Arabidopsis thaliana: one gene and its partners. The protein of the gene in region 2 purifies or fractionates together with the protein of the main gene of each other region. This does not show direct contact. Each region holds a gene or a part of one and is shown on either strand. Other genes may lie near its edges.

Evidence for each region.
Region 1: the proteins of p24delta5 (region 2) and ARF1 purify together in Arabidopsis thaliana (affinity purification with western blotting, with the first as the bait; one study listed by BioGRID). This does not show direct contact.
Region 3: the proteins of p24delta5 (region 2) and ERD2 purify together in Arabidopsis thaliana (affinity purification with western blotting, with the first as the bait; one study listed by BioGRID). This does not show direct contact.

What each region holds. Positions count from the first base shown.
Region 1 is NC_003070.9:8,334,321-8,340,022, reverse strand, and holds ARF1 (ADP-ribosylation factor 1), read right to left. Parts: upstream 3,431-5,702; 5' UTR 3,218-3,430; intron 2,806-3,217; 5' UTR 2,792-2,805; coding exon 2,644-2,791; intron 2,515-2,643; coding exon 2,444-2,514; intron 2,291-2,443; coding exon 2,171-2,290; intron 2,084-2,170; coding exon 1,965-2,083; intron 1,832-1,964; coding exon 1,750-1,831; intron 1,656-1,749; coding exon 1,650-1,655; 3' UTR 1,196-1,649; downstream 1-1,195. Other genes in the region: AT1G23500 (GDSL-like Lipase/Acylhydrolase superfamily protein), read right to left, coding at 97-355; CSLA03 (cellulose synthase-like A3), read right to left, coding at 3,793-3,955, 4,041-4,235, 4,322-4,635, 4,720-4,967, 5,051-5,303, 5,414-5,512, 5,609-5,702. UniProt on the Arabidopsis thaliana protein: GTP-binding protein involved in protein trafficking; may modulate vesicle budding and uncoating within the Golgi apparatus.
Region 2 is NC_003070.9:7,689,687-7,694,667, forward strand, and holds p24delta5 (emp24/gp25L/p24 family/GOLD family protein), read right to left. Parts: upstream 2,774-4,981; 5' UTR 2,642-2,773; coding exon 2,426-2,641; intron 2,086-2,425; coding exon 1,873-2,085; intron 1,792-1,872; coding exon 1,715-1,791; intron 1,624-1,714; coding exon 1,479-1,623; 3' UTR 1,116-1,478; downstream 1-1,115. UniProt on the Arabidopsis thaliana protein: Involved in vesicular protein trafficking. Mainly functions in the early secretory pathway.
Region 3 is NC_003070.9:10,257,080-10,263,247, forward strand, and holds ERD2 (ER lumen protein retaining receptor family protein), read right to left. Parts: upstream 4,154-6,168; 5' UTR 3,828-4,153; coding exon 3,737-3,827; intron 3,730-3,736; exon of another isoform or gene 3,483-3,729; intron 3,338-3,482; coding exon 3,072-3,337; intron 2,365-3,071; coding exon 2,249-2,364; intron 1,850-2,248; coding exon 1,776-1,849; intron 1,690-1,775; coding exon 1,626-1,689; intron 1,538-1,625; coding exon 1,501-1,537; 3' UTR 1,169-1,500; downstream 1-1,168. Other genes in the region: AT1G29320 (Transducin/WD40 repeat-like superfamily protein), read left to right, coding at 1-19, 94-247, 329-418, 542-597, 674-731, 825-1,159. UniProt on the Arabidopsis thaliana protein: Required for the retention of luminal endoplasmic reticulum proteins. Determines the specificity of the luminal ER protein retention system. Also required for normal vesicular traffic through the Golgi. This receptor recognizes H-D-E-L.

The DNA of each region.
Region 1 (5,702 bases), 640 kb from region 2:
TAATATCAAATCATAAATATTAGGTAAATCAGTAACATTATATAGTTGTGTCGAGGTGTATAAAGATATAGTAGATGTTAACGTTGATAGATATACCAATCATATCCGAGAAAACTCTTCCATTTCCAAATCTTCCAGTAGCTTTTCCGCCTATAAAATTTCTACCATACGGAAAGAAATTGCATTTGGAAAGAGTGTTTAGATTGTTGTTATTGCCGGTATCGAGTATCGAGTCTCCGAAAGCGAAAAGTGCTGAAACTGCTACACTTCCTGAAAATTGCTGCGCATAACCAACAAAAAACAAGCAAACAGAAGACAATGCCATTAGCATTGTAGAAAGTAAAGAAAAATTCATGTTTTTTGGTGTCTATGTATATATTGATGAATATTTGTATATCAAATGAAAAGCTGCTATAGTCGACGTCAAAGAAGCTAGTATTTATATACGACTAGTTCGGAAAAGTTGTACATCCAAAATCAACGGGATCTTTATTTTTTAATAATTGGTATCTTGTTTAATTTTGGAAAACAAATCAAATCCAATGAATTAATCTTTGATAATTTGAAGTGATTTGAGTGACTTTAGGTGAGATTATAGGGAATTTTCTTAGTTTAAAATTCAAACATATAAATCTCATGGTTTTAGGTGAGATTTGAGGAAATTTTAGTGACAAATTTCCTAATTCACCAAAATTCACCAAAATCATCTCAAAACTTATTAAAACTCCAATCACTCTAAATTCCTTCTTCAATAAACTCAAATCTTCTGTTTCTGTTTCTGTTTCTTTTATTTTCCTTAATTGCTTATCAAATACTGTATTTAATATCGTCCTTGCAACTATCACTCTAGTCAAAATGATGATTAACGTTCCCTTAATGGCTGGCAGAATAAGAAAGTAAATCAGTGACCTTTAAACACATTAATTTTGAACAGTAATCCGCAAAATAGTTCCAACCGTACAATTGTACTATTCATATATACTCTTAGAATCACAATTTATACATTTCATTAACCTACAATTCTACAAAAATATTATAAAGAAAAACAGATAATTTATGTTATTCCATGGTTGTTAAGATAATTATTAGTTTTAGTGTGCTTATTCTAGACAAATTAAGAACGCAATATTCTGACAAAAATGAATGTGGTGTTCAAAAAGTGCGAGAATTTGGAAATATTAAAGGGATTAGAGGATGCCAGCAAAGAATTTTGAATGTTAACTTTTTTTTCAAACAAGTGGATTTATGATTAAATTGTCTACTCATTCCTCTTCTGCCACACTCTAGCATTTCGCCTACTGGTCATGGCTTTCCTCTACTTGATTCATATGACAAATACTAGCAAAATCATCAAGTTTCGTGTAGCAGGTGCCAACGAAACCGCATTCCAACATATGAATCAAAGTGCACAAGTAAAATGTGACCAAAACCACGAAAGCAGTAGGTGAAATCTTCGATTACAGTTTTACCAAAACTATATAAAAGGTAGTTTTTTTCTAAGTTCTACGTACAATCACAAAATCCATCGACATATCCCAAAAAAAAAAGCAGAACAATAACGAAAACGGAAACCAAAAAAAAAATTCAGATAATGTTTGCCCCTGCATCCAGATTTGCTCAGCAAATCAACTCCACCACGAACTTTCCCTCTACGCCTGCACAACCAGTAACAAGAACACAGAAACAAGAATCACGATTTGCTTCAAAATACTGATCCACAAATCAAAATTGTTGTTTGTGATAATTTACCTTGCCGGCAATGTTGTTGGACAACCAGTCAAGACCTTCGTAAAGCCCCTCGCCTGAAGTGGCACATGTGCTCTGGATGTACCTGGAGAGAGTTCGTAGACATAAAATCAATCAGAGAGGTGATAAATCTTTGGAACTATATCATAAGAAACGTTATGTGCAGGAGAACAAATCAACATGAGGGAAGCAGGGGAGATTATAATGTTTTTATTTACCAGTGACGCTGACGGAGAGAGTGGAGACCAAGCTTATCCGTGATCTCAGCTGCATTCATAGCATTTGGGAGATCCTGCTTGTTAGCAAATACGAGCAGAACAGCATCACGCAGCTCGTCCTGTAAAACCCCGACAAACAGTTTACTGAATCATCTAAACATGAAGAATTCAATACAACAGGCAAAGATATAACACTTGATACAGACCTCATTCAACATTCGGTGCAATTCATCTCTAGCCTCAACAACACGGTCTCTGTCATTGCTGTCCACCACAAAGATAAGACCTTGGGTGTTCTGGAAGTAATGCCTCCACAAGGGACGGATCTGACAACAAGAAGTGGAGGTTTTGCGACATGTGAGTTTGTGTAATTCTATGTTCATCAACAATAATACCAAGACACAGTAGGAAAAAGATCCCCAGGTAGTGATGCAAAAAAAAAAGAATTCTTAATGCTTTAGAGTTGGATAATCTTATACCTTATCCTGACCGCCGACATCCCACACTGTGAAACTGATGTTCTTGTACTCCACAGTCTCCACATTGAACCCTGTCCACAGTTTGTAGTAGTTTAATCATCACGGCAGGTGGAAGACAAAATTTTGTATGAATGGTATGAACAAAGTTGATGGAACTAAGCTTTTGAAACACTGAATTATGAAATGATGTTTAAGCTTACCAATAGTGGGAATGGTGGTTACAATCTCTCCGAGCTTGAGCTTGTACAAAATGGTGGTCTTACCAGCAGCATCAAGACCAACCATCAGAATTCTCATCTCCTTCTTGGCAAAAAGCCTGCTAAAAAGCTTGGCGAATGACAATCCCATCCTGCTTCACTTAACTAACACACAGAAACAGAGTATCAATATCACATAAAGAGAGATCACCAGCGAGAACTCCAAATGTTGACTATAAATCATTAGAATAACGCAGATCGAAACAGATGCAACAACGTTTACAAAACCTCATCGTATAGATCTTGCGGAATTCAGAATCTAATTGAAGCAATTACAACGAGAAAAAGGTGAAATCGAAGATAATGTTCATAGATCCAGACTTGAAACGATGCAGCAGCAGATCGAAATCAGAATTTTCAACCAAAAACATCGAAATCCAAAGCATTACCCAAAGATACAACGGATCATCATAAGAAAAATCCTAAATCGAAGCAAGAATATTCAATTCCCAACCTAAGAACACACTGAAACAATCAAAATTGAGAATGCCTTAGCTCAGATCTAGATCAATAATACCTCTGCGTGAAAGTTTCGGAGCTATCTGAGAGAGAGAGAGAGATCGCGAGAGACGAACAGAATTTGAAAGAGAGAGCTTCAAAACAACGCTAAATGCGCGACGCCGTAATTGCAAAAACGGAAGAAGATCTTTATAGAGGCAAAGGATAAAAACGTCAATTCACATAAATTATCACCGGTAATACCTAGAATACCCCTCGACGAATGTTTTCGTGGAGGGGCCTTGTGCTTACGCGGTTTACATGCGTGATGGGTCATTGGCCGTGGATTGCATCTAACCAATCCAAAACCGCCATGTCATTTTCAACATCTTAAATCATTGACGTTGACTTGTTTTTTTTGTATGTTTCTCTCAATTTTCTTTCTAGAACACAATTGGCAAATACAAATTCATAAAATGTTACGTATGAATATGATCGATAACCAAATTTTAAGATCATAACACCATTTAAAAAATTACATTTTGAGTATGAATATTGGAAGAGTTAACTTGGTTTAAGTAACCAAGATCCAATCTCTAATTTGGTCTAATCAAATAGCAAAAACACATTTGCTCTCAAATACAAAAGTCTAATCTAAACAGTTGGAACAAATGTGCCAATATAACCAACTCCAGCAACAAAAAATGCACAAGACTGTAAAAACAGATAAACATAAAAGTATGATCCTCCATATGCGAAATCGTAACATCCGCAGAAGAATATATATAATCCAACAACGAGTTCTCTCCAGTTGAGTCTGCAAAATGTTAACTAAAATTAGTTACAACATTTCAAAATGCTTAAAAATTGTAATTGTGTGTGTGTTTTTAAGTTAAGAGTACCTTTGTCCAAATCTGGTATAAAGCTTAGTTGTAGCTTTACCTATTAACTTAGACTTGAGAGTGTCACCTAATTTTTCAGTAACAACCCATTCGTTAACCCGTCCTGCCTCTAGTAACCCGATGAATGTCGCTTTTGTGCGATGCATCGACATTACATTCTCGAATAAGATCCAAAAGACAAGAAGATGGAGTGATCTGCAGTAGACAATATATGTCAAACTTTTTATCATACTAGGAAATGAGAAAACAGAGTTTTACTTGAACAGTAGAGATGTTGTTACCGAGGTGTAGCGATTGCGTTAAGGATAGTGATTGTAGTAGGAAAATAAACAGTTGCCCATTTAGGAACTTGGAGCTCAGGGAATAGCACAGTTGTTGGTAATATCAGACAGTAGAAGACAAATGTGAAGATGTGTACTACAATCTTCCTTATGAAGAAGAAATTGTATATGAGATACAATTTCTTCCAGGCCGACACTTTCTTGTTCTGTAAGATTTCCATTGTCATCTTCCTCCATAGATTAGCTGGTCCACAAGACCATCTATGTTGCTGAAACCTGTATGCTTTGAATGTACTTGGCAATTCATTTTTCACCTGAAATGTTAGATTACTTAATAATGTCTTGAATGAAATCTTGTTATGTTTTGCTTGAGTTTAAAAGGGTTATAGTAGTAGTACCTCGACGTCATGGACATAGACAAATTTCCAACCATGAAGACAAGCTCTTACTGCTAAATCCATATCTTCTACGGTTGTTCGATCTTTCCATCCTCCAGCTTCGTTTAAAGCTGCGATTCTCCATACACCCGCGGTTCCATTGAATCCAAAGAAAGCATGTATTGAAGATCCAGATTCTTGCTCAGCCACAAAATGGTAGTTTAGTGACATCTCTTGCATTCTTGTCATTAAGCACTCGTTTGCATTCACTACATGTAACACATTCTCTCCATTAGCCAATTTGACTTAACAAAATAATAACTATTATTTTTCAAAAAAGATATGACTTTACCAAACTTCCAACGGCATTGAACAAGAGAGATTTCATGGTTGTGAATAAGAAAAGGAATGGTTCGTTCAAGAAAGTCAGGATCAGGCTGAAAATCAGCATCGAAAATGGCGACGAATTCGCATTGTTTCACATAGTTGTGCATCATTCCTGCCTTTAATGCTCCTGCTTTGTATCCAATTCTGTTGTCTCTAATCTCTGACATTATGTTTATACCTTTCCTCGCCCATTTATCACATTCCGCATTCACCAATTCCTGTCTTTTCCAAATCATTTCATATGTCAAAAACGTTCCATATATAGTTGAGGAACCAATCATACATATAAACCAAAGATTTTTGGGGGGAAAAAAATTGAACAAAGGACCTTACTAGCTGGATCTGTGGAATCATCAAGTACTTGAACTATCATTCGATCCAATGGCCAAGAAAGTCTACAGGCTGCTCCTATAGATAACTGACAAACCTGTGACAACAACAAGAATTTGATTCCTTCATTAGTATTGTATAATATATGTATATTCATTAAAAAAAATCTTGGTTACAACAAAATCATAATTACCTCTTTTTCATTGTACATTGGGATCTGAATGAGAACCATTGGGTAGTTTGTATTGGCAAGCTCAAGGTCATCATCGTTTATAGGTTCCCACTTG
Region 2 (4,981 bases):
TTCAATCTTGAATGCTATGGTTTTTATTTTTTTTCATTTCTGATAATTTTTTCGTTATTTTTTTAAAAAGTAGCATGTATTTTGTTGATTCGTTCGCTTGATGATAAATTTTACTTTGCCAAAAATTAATAATGCATAGGCGTAGAAGGAAAAATCAATGTAAAAAGAGATTACAAAAAAAAAAAAGAGTGAATGTAAAATTATATTTACAAAAAAAAAATCTTCTTCCGATGAATGCATTATTCTTTCAAAAGTTTTTAGAAAAAGAAATAGAGATTATGAAACAGAATTAAGCTTGTGATTCTAACTATATCCGAAGGCCATCGTCTCCATATGATTGCGGGGCTGTGTTCACAAGTGACAGAATTTCATATGATGGAGGTGGAAAGTGGTTCGCAGACCTCTTTTTGGCATGATAGATGGTGCGGGCTTGGTCGACTTCATGAGGTTATTGGAGAGAGGGGTTTTATTGATATATGAATCTCAAAAGAGACACAATGTACCGTGGGAACAAGTGAGAAAGTGATTAATGGTAATGGTAATGGTAAGTGTGAGGTTCGTACGATGACGTACGAGAGAAGTAAGAGATTAAGCAAAAGTGAAAGGACTTTAGTTGGATTCATGCTTGGACTTCCATCTTCCATAACTTGGGCTAATGGATTACACCTCTTCATTTTTAAAAACTAATATTCATATTCCAACTTTTATTATTTCTCCTCGCATTAACTTTACATATTTGTGCTATTAAAGTGAGATCCATTGTATAGGTAAGCACGATGACGATATCAGCAAAACAACAGTAGAATTACGATTCAGAAAGAGAGAAAAACATCAAAAATATAAATATTTTACCGTAACTAGGCAATTTAAAATTCACTTATAAATGTTTTGGACAAAATGTTGTCAATAAACTAGTGGAGAATGCTTAGATGACCTAACCAAATGTATTTGGTTCTTCTTCCATTATGAATACACACACATATTATAATATGTTGGATCTGATGTCTAACTGTTCCCACACATGATAGAAAAGGACATAACATACAATAAGCTTGTCTACATGATAAATCAGATTTGTCTTCTTTGCAAGAATTACGCCACGCAATTTTAGTTTACTTTAATCTTGATTTATTAGCACCATTAATCATAAATAAACATGTTAACTAACATTCATATTTCTGATAACAAAATTACCCCAAAATGCCTGTGAAAGAAAGAACTTTTGGTACATTGTCACATTACCTGTATTTTTTTTTTTAACTCCAAAAGAGATCAATCAAAACACAAAAGTGACTGTGCACAAACTCAATGATCTCTAACTATCGACAGTAGTAAAGTTTCACAGAAAATATAAATGAAAACGCGTTCTTCGATTTTTTAACCAATTCAACTCTACAATCTTGAGCTTATCCCTCTTTTCAAGGTAGGGATGTGTGATGTTACTAATATATAGTAAGAGTATCCTTCAGGCCAAGTTTCTAGATAAGTTTCTTCTTGTGGAAATACCTCTTCAGATACAGTATCTGTGAACCCACAACCACAACGCAAACCCCGAGTGACATTATACTGAACCAAGCCACTCTTGAGTTGGTTGTTTCACTCACTTCTCGCATCTCCGCTTCCCTGCATCCAAAGTTTTCGTTTTATCACTATGTTCTTGTTTCCCGAAGTTCAATAGATACCACTTAATCGCAGCAAGGCGAAAGAAACACACCTGTCTTTTATATAGTTTAAGTTCTCACGAATCGACAGCACCAACCCTTCAAGTCTCCTCAACTGAAGCTCAACACCCTGCAGATACACATTCACAAGAGTTGAGTTTTCACATCAGAGAGGGAAAGATGTTTACATAGAAGTGAAAAGAAGACTTGCCTCGATCTTTTCCTTTTTAGCAACAGAGTCCCAGTCTTTAGCTGCAATACCCATCTTCCAATCAACCCCAAGGGTTATAGGATTGGCTAAGTGATGACTGGAATCAATCCAGAAACAAGCCAAGTAGTTCCCAGCTTCTTGAGTTGTGAATGCAAACTGACCATGTGTTACATTTTCTTGGTGATGAAGATTGTTCCCATACGGAGATGTTACCTATCCAAACCAAATCACAGAAAATTCAAGACACCATACAAAAATCTTATGACAATGATTAGCTTTAAGAACATCCAAACCAAATCTGCAAATATAAAGCCACATTAACATGCAACAACAAATCTGCATCTTTAAAAAATTTCAAAACTTTATACATATCAATGAATATGATCCGTAACAAGTCACCGACAGAGAATTCACAGTTTGATGATTAAACCACATAACAAAACCATTAAAACCCTAAAAATCGAAGTAAAGACGCGCAAAATTGAACCAATCAATCTCCTACAAAAGATTCAATTTTGAAGCGATTCAATTCCAAGCACAATAGGAACCTTACCTTAGAAGAAACAGCAGGTGTATTTTCAGGATTATGCTCATCGACGACATAGTAATCAGCCAAAACGACGACGTTGCTCTGTATCTCCTCGGAGACACACTTCGTTCCACCCGTCGTCGGAATCGTCAACCATATAGCTTCGCCGTAATTAACCGTCAGAAAGAACAAGACTACCGTCAGAAACAGAGAACCATGAGCAATTCTGTTAATAGCCATCGGAGAACAACGATGGTCTTCTTCTCCTTTTTTTTTTTTTGGTCTCAAGTCCAAGCCAAGGAAGGTCAAAGTCCAAAAAAACCAAACACAAACGAAGACAAGAGAGACTCCACGCGCGCGTGTGAGAGTGTGGGAGGTTTTAAGAGCATTTTGATGGGTTTCGGTGACTTGTTTCAACGTAAGATGAGCCAATCAGATTCTGAGGAATTGTCTACGTGGCGTGTCTTTTAAGGAGGTGGCGCGTCATTATGTTGACCTTTACCTGCTTAATGATTTAGAGGGTTCCGTTTACCATTTTTGTTATTTTCCTCTCAAAGTGGATTTTGCATTTAATTTTACCATCGTCTATAGTTTGTAGAGTGAAGAATTTGAGCCAAAGATTACAACTTACAAGTATAAACATTGAATGAGAAATTATTGAACCAAGAGGCTTATTGAATTGAAAACAAATTATTGGGTTTATTTTGTTTTGTTATCATTTAAATCACAAATTGTGTATAACAATACCCTGCTATTAGATAAATCATTTCATAAAACACATTTTTGTGTTATACTAAGTTAGTCTACAACTTTATATAACATTTTTGTGGCATATTAATAGATGAATTAATATTTGCTGATTTTTGTAAATGCAAACATAAAACAAAAGAAGGAATTAAAATATTTCGTATTGAAATAAATGGGCCCCCATTACAAAATGACTTTCAAATGGGCCAACGAGTATTTATATGGCTGATGATATATAATCTTTGGGCTTGTTATTTGTCATCTTCCCATAAGGAATTGTTACCTTTACTTCTTTTCTTTTTTGTTTTCCTTTTGATAGATCTTTACTTGTTTCTTCTGCTCCCTCCTGTTTGTATAACTAACTATTTACAGAGAATTTTGTTAAATACTTCGAGAACATGCAAAGAGAAGATGTATATATATATTTCTGCTAGAGTGAACAAATATGTGATCGGGGTTTATAGCTTAGTCATTTTTCGTCTCATAGTCATATATAAATCTAATTCATAAAAATATTGTGAATTATGTAAACGGAAAATAAATTATATATGAATTTATAAACCAAAACAAATATGTATGGGGTCTATCATATTTTATGTCCCCACATCATTTTTAACATTTTCAAAACCGACTAAATCATAGATCTGTGAGATATACAAAAGAAAAGGATTTGGTGGTTGAACCTAGTTCACTGGATCCATTATACATGGTTGAACCTTCAACGTACATCTTTAATGAAAAAAAATATGAAAAACAAAAAACATTCAACGTATACTATTTCATCTTCCTCGAAATTTCCTTGCCATGCGCTGTAGTATTGTAATCCTCCAAATTTGTTACGATAAATAGTACACCAATAATAAATGTTGAAACTATTGAGGTTGAGATTGTATCGTGGTGATATTGTTGAGTCATTTGTTGGGAACTGGTACGGAGAGAGTACGGTACCACCAATTAATACATACAGTTTATTGGATTTTCCATTTATCAAGAAAGATCCATTTTGTTTTAATTTTTGTTTGTTTGTTTGTTTGTTAAAGCAAATATGTTTGTACTGCAATGTTTGTTTACTTGCCTTAGCCTTTACTTTAGGCTTGCATGTCTGAATATGTCTATTCATGTGTAAGTGAAACATCTTGACAATCCTAAAACCTATCGTAAAATATAATGAACATGGTCAATCCACTCGACATCAATTAGTCATAAAAGCCTATAAAATTGATGCATTTCTAGTTTAGTGTATCATTTTCAAAATTCAAAAGAGGAGATTACATTCGAGTAAGTGTCAAATATGAAATAAGCTACGTGTTAAAACTCAAAAGTTAAAATTGAAAGAAGCCACGATCGAGATGCTTCTTCTCGTCATGCAAACGCATGTTTTGGCTGGAAAGCTGACAAAATCCGCCCATATTCTTTCTCGCTCTCTTTATCGAACTGACATCTTGGAGAGTTTTGCTTAAGACCAAAGTGTGAAATCTAAAGACGAAGACAACAAATTAAAGTACCATATCCCATGATTAATCTTAAGCTTTGTGAGAAAGTCAAGGCTGTCCACAAAGAACATGTCATCTCCCATCTTTTCTTACATACGATCATGTGCTCGTTGCGTGTCCTAAAGTTTTATATGCTTTATTTATTTATTTTTATATTTTCCCCCTTTTTCAATTGTTTATACTTTATATCAATCTTTAGCATATGTTCGTATAAATTATGTTGGTATATATTAAAGTTACGTAAGACAAAATTTATTAGAATTCGAAATCCTAACTCGACAAAACGAGTTAAATTGAGCTTTATTTGATTTTCTATATTCTAAAATAGAATGACTCAAAG
Region 3 (6,168 bases), 2.6 Mb from region 2:
AGGAACCAAGTCTCACCAGGTTAATATCTCTAGTTTCTTTTGTCAGTTTGAAGTTTGTCCTGATCACTCACAACTTGCCTGTGCTGGAGACAGGTCCGTCTTTATGACATTTCTACTCAACGTAGACCGGTCCTGTCCTTTGATTTCCGTGAGACCGCTATTACATCAATTGCGGAAGACCCAGACGGTCATACTATCTATGTCGGGAATGCTTCTGCTGACCTAGCTTCCTTTGATATACGAACAGGTTCATTGATTCTCTCTAAAAATGTATCATAAACTATGTTGCTTGCTGAATCAAACAATTAATCGAGCATCTCTATTGCAGGAAAGCTGTTGGGAAGCTTTTTAGGAAAATGCTCTGGAAGCATAAGATCTGTGGTTAGACATCCACAGCATCAAGTGATAGCTTCTTGCGGTAAGATTCATTATCACAACTTCAACGTCCATATGCCGTAACCCGTAACAACAATCTCATTTGTGTTGTTTTATTTAATTGTTCAACAATTTCATCTGTTTTTCTTTTAATTGAATTGTCTAGGGCTGGACCGATATTTACGTGTTTATGACGTTAAGACACGCCAGCTCATTTCTGCGGTATGCTCTTCAACCTTTGGACTAGTATTTTTTTGGTGAAGTTGAGTCTTACTTATATATCATTGTTTTATTGCAGGTTTTCTTGAAGCAGCATCTTACAGGTCTTGTATTCGACTCGGGCTTTTCTGGAGAAGGTTTGTTTGTTTTCTAATGCCGTTCACAAATCGCATCTATGTTTGTATTCCTCTGTTAGTATGTTTGTAAAATGATTGGATTCATGGTTGAAGCAGAGACAGCTGTAGCAAACACAGTGGCTGAGGCTGCCACAGAGGAGAAGATGACGATCATGGACCAGGAAGATGATGAAACAGAGAAGGCTCCTGTGAAAAGAAAGAAGTCAAAGAAAGAGAAACGCAGTAGAGAAATAGTCTTTGAGGGTGAAGACGATGAGGAGAATGAAGACGAGATTGAGAAGGCTCCGGTCAAAACAAAAAAGTCAAAGAAAGAGAAACGCAGTAGAGAAAAAGTCTCTGAAGGTGAAGAGAAAGACGAGCTAAGAAGCAAGAAGACACGAGAGCACAAGAAGAAGACCAAGATAGTGAAACACAATCAAGAAGACTAGGTTTAAGTTTTGAAGACACATTGTTAACTTGGCTCTGATCTGAGCTACAGTTTTGAACTAAACACTCGCACAAAAGAAACAGAGTTTGTGTGTTATCTATAAAGACTAGTTTTGATAAAACGATGCCTCTTCTCAATGTCTAAAATCGTCGGGAAAGTTACAATGTGCATTAAAGACTAAAAAAAAAACACATTTTAAACAACAATCCTGCATCATTCAATTTTCAACTCATTGTTAGAAAGAGGGAGGACCCAAATGTTAACCATGTCTTTCTTTTCTAATGTCACCATTGCTGTAACTTCCTGGATTTTGATACTATTGCAAAAAAATTCGGGTTCTTTTCAAGCCGGAAGCTTAAGTTTGGTGTTGGTTTTCCAGCTACAACAAAATCAAAAAGGATCCAAAGTCAGTAACATGATCAGTAACTATAAAGAGAATATTATTCAGACTGGTGAGGTTACTTTACCTTATGTAGTAGTAGTAGAAGAAATCCGCATAGAGAGCTGTTTGGACAAGACCAGACACACAAGCTGGAAAATGGATTTACGTAAAACATTAGCATTGAGGAAAAACAAATGGTTAAAATGCATTTAGTGCTTCTTTGTTGAAACATTACCAATCCATCTAGTGAAATGATCTTCTGTGAAATAGCGATAGATCCAGTTGATAATATAGAGTCCCCGATACGCCCTGCATGTTAATCATTGCCCATGTGAGTGCATACAGAATACTTACTCAATTTTGCACATTGAAATATTGTGCACTGGACACAAAGGTATGCATCAGAACCAAATGCATAGCAAGATGTAAAGCAGTCTGATTTCCTTTATAGAAAAAAATATAGTTCAGCTCAGCTTCCAGACGCATTAACATTAAACGGAAAACAATGTCTGGACTTTAGAAATATGCACTGATTTTTAAACACCACAATGACACTGGAGAGCGATTCTCATTGATCAAGTTAACAAGTGCATGAGCAGTGAAAGACACAGTATATATATAAGATAAACCAATTCTAAAAACAAACCCAACAGAGAAGCCAGTGGAGATCAAGTGAGCAAACGCATATGTCTGGTTAGAATTACGTACCCGAGAAAGACAACATATTGCCCAGTCAAATTGTCGACATTCCCACTTCTTTGTAGCAGAACCAACTGGGGAAGGATAGCAACTGCCTCTAAGTAGATAGAAAACGCCCAGAACACCTGAAATGGTTTGGAATGCACAGAATTAACATATTGCACAATGATTCTGGCTATCAACACAGAGAGGCCACAATGCTGCAAAAATACTTAAAGAGTGAAGGCAGTTTGCAAAGATCAGATCTTTACCAAGAGCATATACTGGAAAAATACATATGAAGGTAGTAAGGGAAAACGATCTTAGTGAAGTGCATATAAGGAGTCACTACAGTTTCTTATGACAAGATAATCAAAGAACACAATGGCCAGAAAAGTAACAGCGAGATACAGATGACACTAATCCATGGGGCACCTTATGGAACATAGGTAGGTAGGACACAGAAGATTCCATGAATGGAAGCAAACAAACCTTTCACGATGCAACAGTTTGATATTCAAAGAGTTTCTCAAAACAATCAGCGAGTGAGAGGCTACATAGGTAGTACAACGTTTAAACAAGCAAAAATAAAACTATAAACGCCGGACTCCTAATTGGTTCTGGAAGGAGTTATGTTCAGTTTCATTTACATAGACGATATTCTATTCTACACTAGCCAAGATAGTTACCAAATCCAAATGATATAAGAAGAAGGAACCGAATGAATCAAATGAATAAATAAACCAAAAACAAGATTACACAACATATGCATGTCTTCTAACAACAAGTATTCGCTTTCCTAGTCTCTACAACCTAAAAACACAAAAGCAATGTGAAATTCATATGAAAATACCTCTTGAACTGTGAATTTTTCATTCAGGATAAGTCCCAGTACAAAACACGCTAACACAACATACTGATGACGAAATGTGTCCAGGTCCTTATCGTATGACCTCCTCACAAGTGGATGCCTACGCATACACCAAACGATAGCCAAAGAGCTGGCAATGAAGACAATCTTCATGATGCTGTTGTACAGAGATACATAATCCGTAAACAGATCCAAGTACCGAGTCAAGAACACAAGCGCATAGAGCTCTTGAGTCTTGAGAGAGATTCCTAGCCAACAAAATCCAAAAGTCAACAGCAACAATGTTAGGAGCTGCACAATCTATGAGAAAATCATGAGCATCTACAAGCATTTTCCATTCCGTGTAGCAATTTTCCGTTAAACCTAATGCAATTTAGGGGTGAGAGATCTCACTCGTTTAGAAATTCCATAGTGGTTTCGAAGATTGAGATTTCACAACTATTTTGACTTGCAATTTCAATCTACCAACTCGGATTCGCCTCGAAATCGATAAATAGACCTCAACAGGATTCAAATAAGATTGCATTTGAAAGCTATGGAAAGGAAAACAAAAGGTCAAAGCAAAATGCGATTGTTTCGTCTACGAGCTCGTCTTCAAAATATACACAACACATTTCATGAAAGAGAGAGAGAGAGAGAGAACTCACCAGCGCAAGATTTCGTCGCGTAGATTTTGAGAAGAAGGATTAAGACACTGATCAAGTGACTCATATCGCCAGCAAATCTAAAGATATTCATGGTTGACCAGTAATCGATAGAGACTCACCGATTCCAAAATTTTCCGGGAAAATCCAAAAGAAGAAGAGAAAACGAAATCGAACGAATTTTCTCTCTTCAAATCGAGAGAGAAACGAAGGAAGAGAGAGAAAGAGAGGCAAGGTGCAGCACGTTTCAGGTTTTGCAGAAACTCGTTGAGAGGAGACGATGACGTGGCAATCTGGAACGGTCTTTCTTCTCTAACGTGTGTGCTTACTTATTTCCTTAAAACTGCAAATTAGTCCTTCATTATTCGATTAATTATCGAAGTTTCCCTAAATAATTACCAAAAGAGAGCGTTTTAATTTTCAAAAGTGGAGAGGTGGTGTTATCTGGTACGTCGCACCTTGGTAAACTAGAAAGCGCCAGCTATCGGTGGGTCTATATTGCATCATATTAAGCCACGTGTTAATAGAACAGTGATGTGGCAGCTTCGTACGCGACATGGTGTGGTGTTTAACTTCAATTTTAATTCCTCGTGTTATCCACGTGTTTTGTATTTGAGAAAAACAGTTAGAATGGACCGGTTAAGAGTTGGTTATTAATAGATATGGGCCTTCTGTTATTATTTATATGGGCTTTAGCTCTCTGTGATAGATTAATACCCAATGTCATACCATGAACATATGCAAACATGTTTTAAAATAAAAAATTGAATGTTGATTTTTTTTTTTTTTTTTTTTTGGTTATGGAACGAAATAGAAGTGTTTACAAACTAATGTGATTGCAAATATGTTTTTTTTTTTGGGTGTATAATAATATTTGTTCTACGGTTGTTTTGGGTTAAACAGTATAGGATTTTGAGATTTTTGTGCTAGCTGTTGTCCTGACTCCTTATGATCTAACTCATTTTTTTTTTTCTTTTTTGCAAAGATGATTGAAATGTATAGTTTAGTCCATAAAATTATAAAATGATATTCAATGCTTCGCTTCAACGTTCAAGACTTCGTTTTTCTAGTGAACTAATAGACAACCATGAAAATGATGTATGAACGTCATTTAAAACAAGAATAAATTGTATGAACGTCATGACTCATGAATATAGAGGACACGAGAAATTAAACATGTTTGTTTTTTCTTTATCGTTAGTCAAAGAAAACCTACAGTATCACTAATAATACTCTTACGTTAGACTCCGTGGTCGGTCCGCTTGTTGCCTGGAGTGTTCGACTTTATCGATTATAGAGAAGTTCTATATATAATTTTATTTAATGGCGTATTTTAAAAAATCAACTATACCATTTTCAATTGTGTATAGACTATTGACTATAGATTATAGAATTTTTCAATGGCCACTAATCAAACAGTTCTGAAATCAAACAAATAGCTTTTCTGACTACATTGAAACAGTTAAAAATAGATAACATCACGTGACGGGATTATCTATGCTACAATGAAACTACGGCAATCGACAAAGTCGCTGCTTTTGTAATTTCATGTTGTGATGATGATTAAGGTGGTTCAGACGTGTGGTTTTATAGGAAACCGACTTTGTTTACATTTACAATAATTTCTTACAATTTTTAGAAATTTTGAACGTTTTACGATGAACACAATAATTTCACATGTAAATGTAAATAGTATCAAACAAAATCATTTTGTAAATTGTAAGCGCAAATACCAAACAAAAATGAAATGAACATGTAATGTAATATGGTATTTTTGCTTATAAAAGAAGCATATAATGTAACAAAGAAAGTTTTTACTACACATTGCAAAAATATGAAATAGTTTGATGGTAAACTGATCACATAGAAAAATGTTTGAATTTAGTTGGGTTAGCTTTAGTGGATTCTTTAGTTGTAATTTGCAAAACGCAAAACTTGGTTAAAGAAAGTGAACTTCCCTTTAGCTTAACATTTTTCTACACGCGCCTTCAATGTTTCAGCGACACGTTGCACTTGCATCTTTCCAGAGTCAACGCTTCACTAGCATAGGTTTCTTCTTAGAGCAAAGAGATGTTTATTGTCTGATAATAAAATTTACTCATTGTAACATGTGTTTTAATTATTGGAATCTTTAATAGTGTAATGTAACATTTAATTTCATACAAAAAAACGTATAATTTTAAAACATATACTATTATTACTTCATGTTAACTTATAAAAACTTCGTTGTAAAACTTTGGAAAAATCGATAGCTAAAACTTGTTTTTGTTATATTATAGTAATTGGAACAATCGGCAAGTTTAACATACAAAACACTAATAATCGAAAAAATGGCAATAAGAAAAACAAAATAGAACCAACACCGTAAAAATCTTATAAAAACATCATGTATGCATTTTTTAATCATTCCAAAATCTAGAAATGTGGTGGTGGAT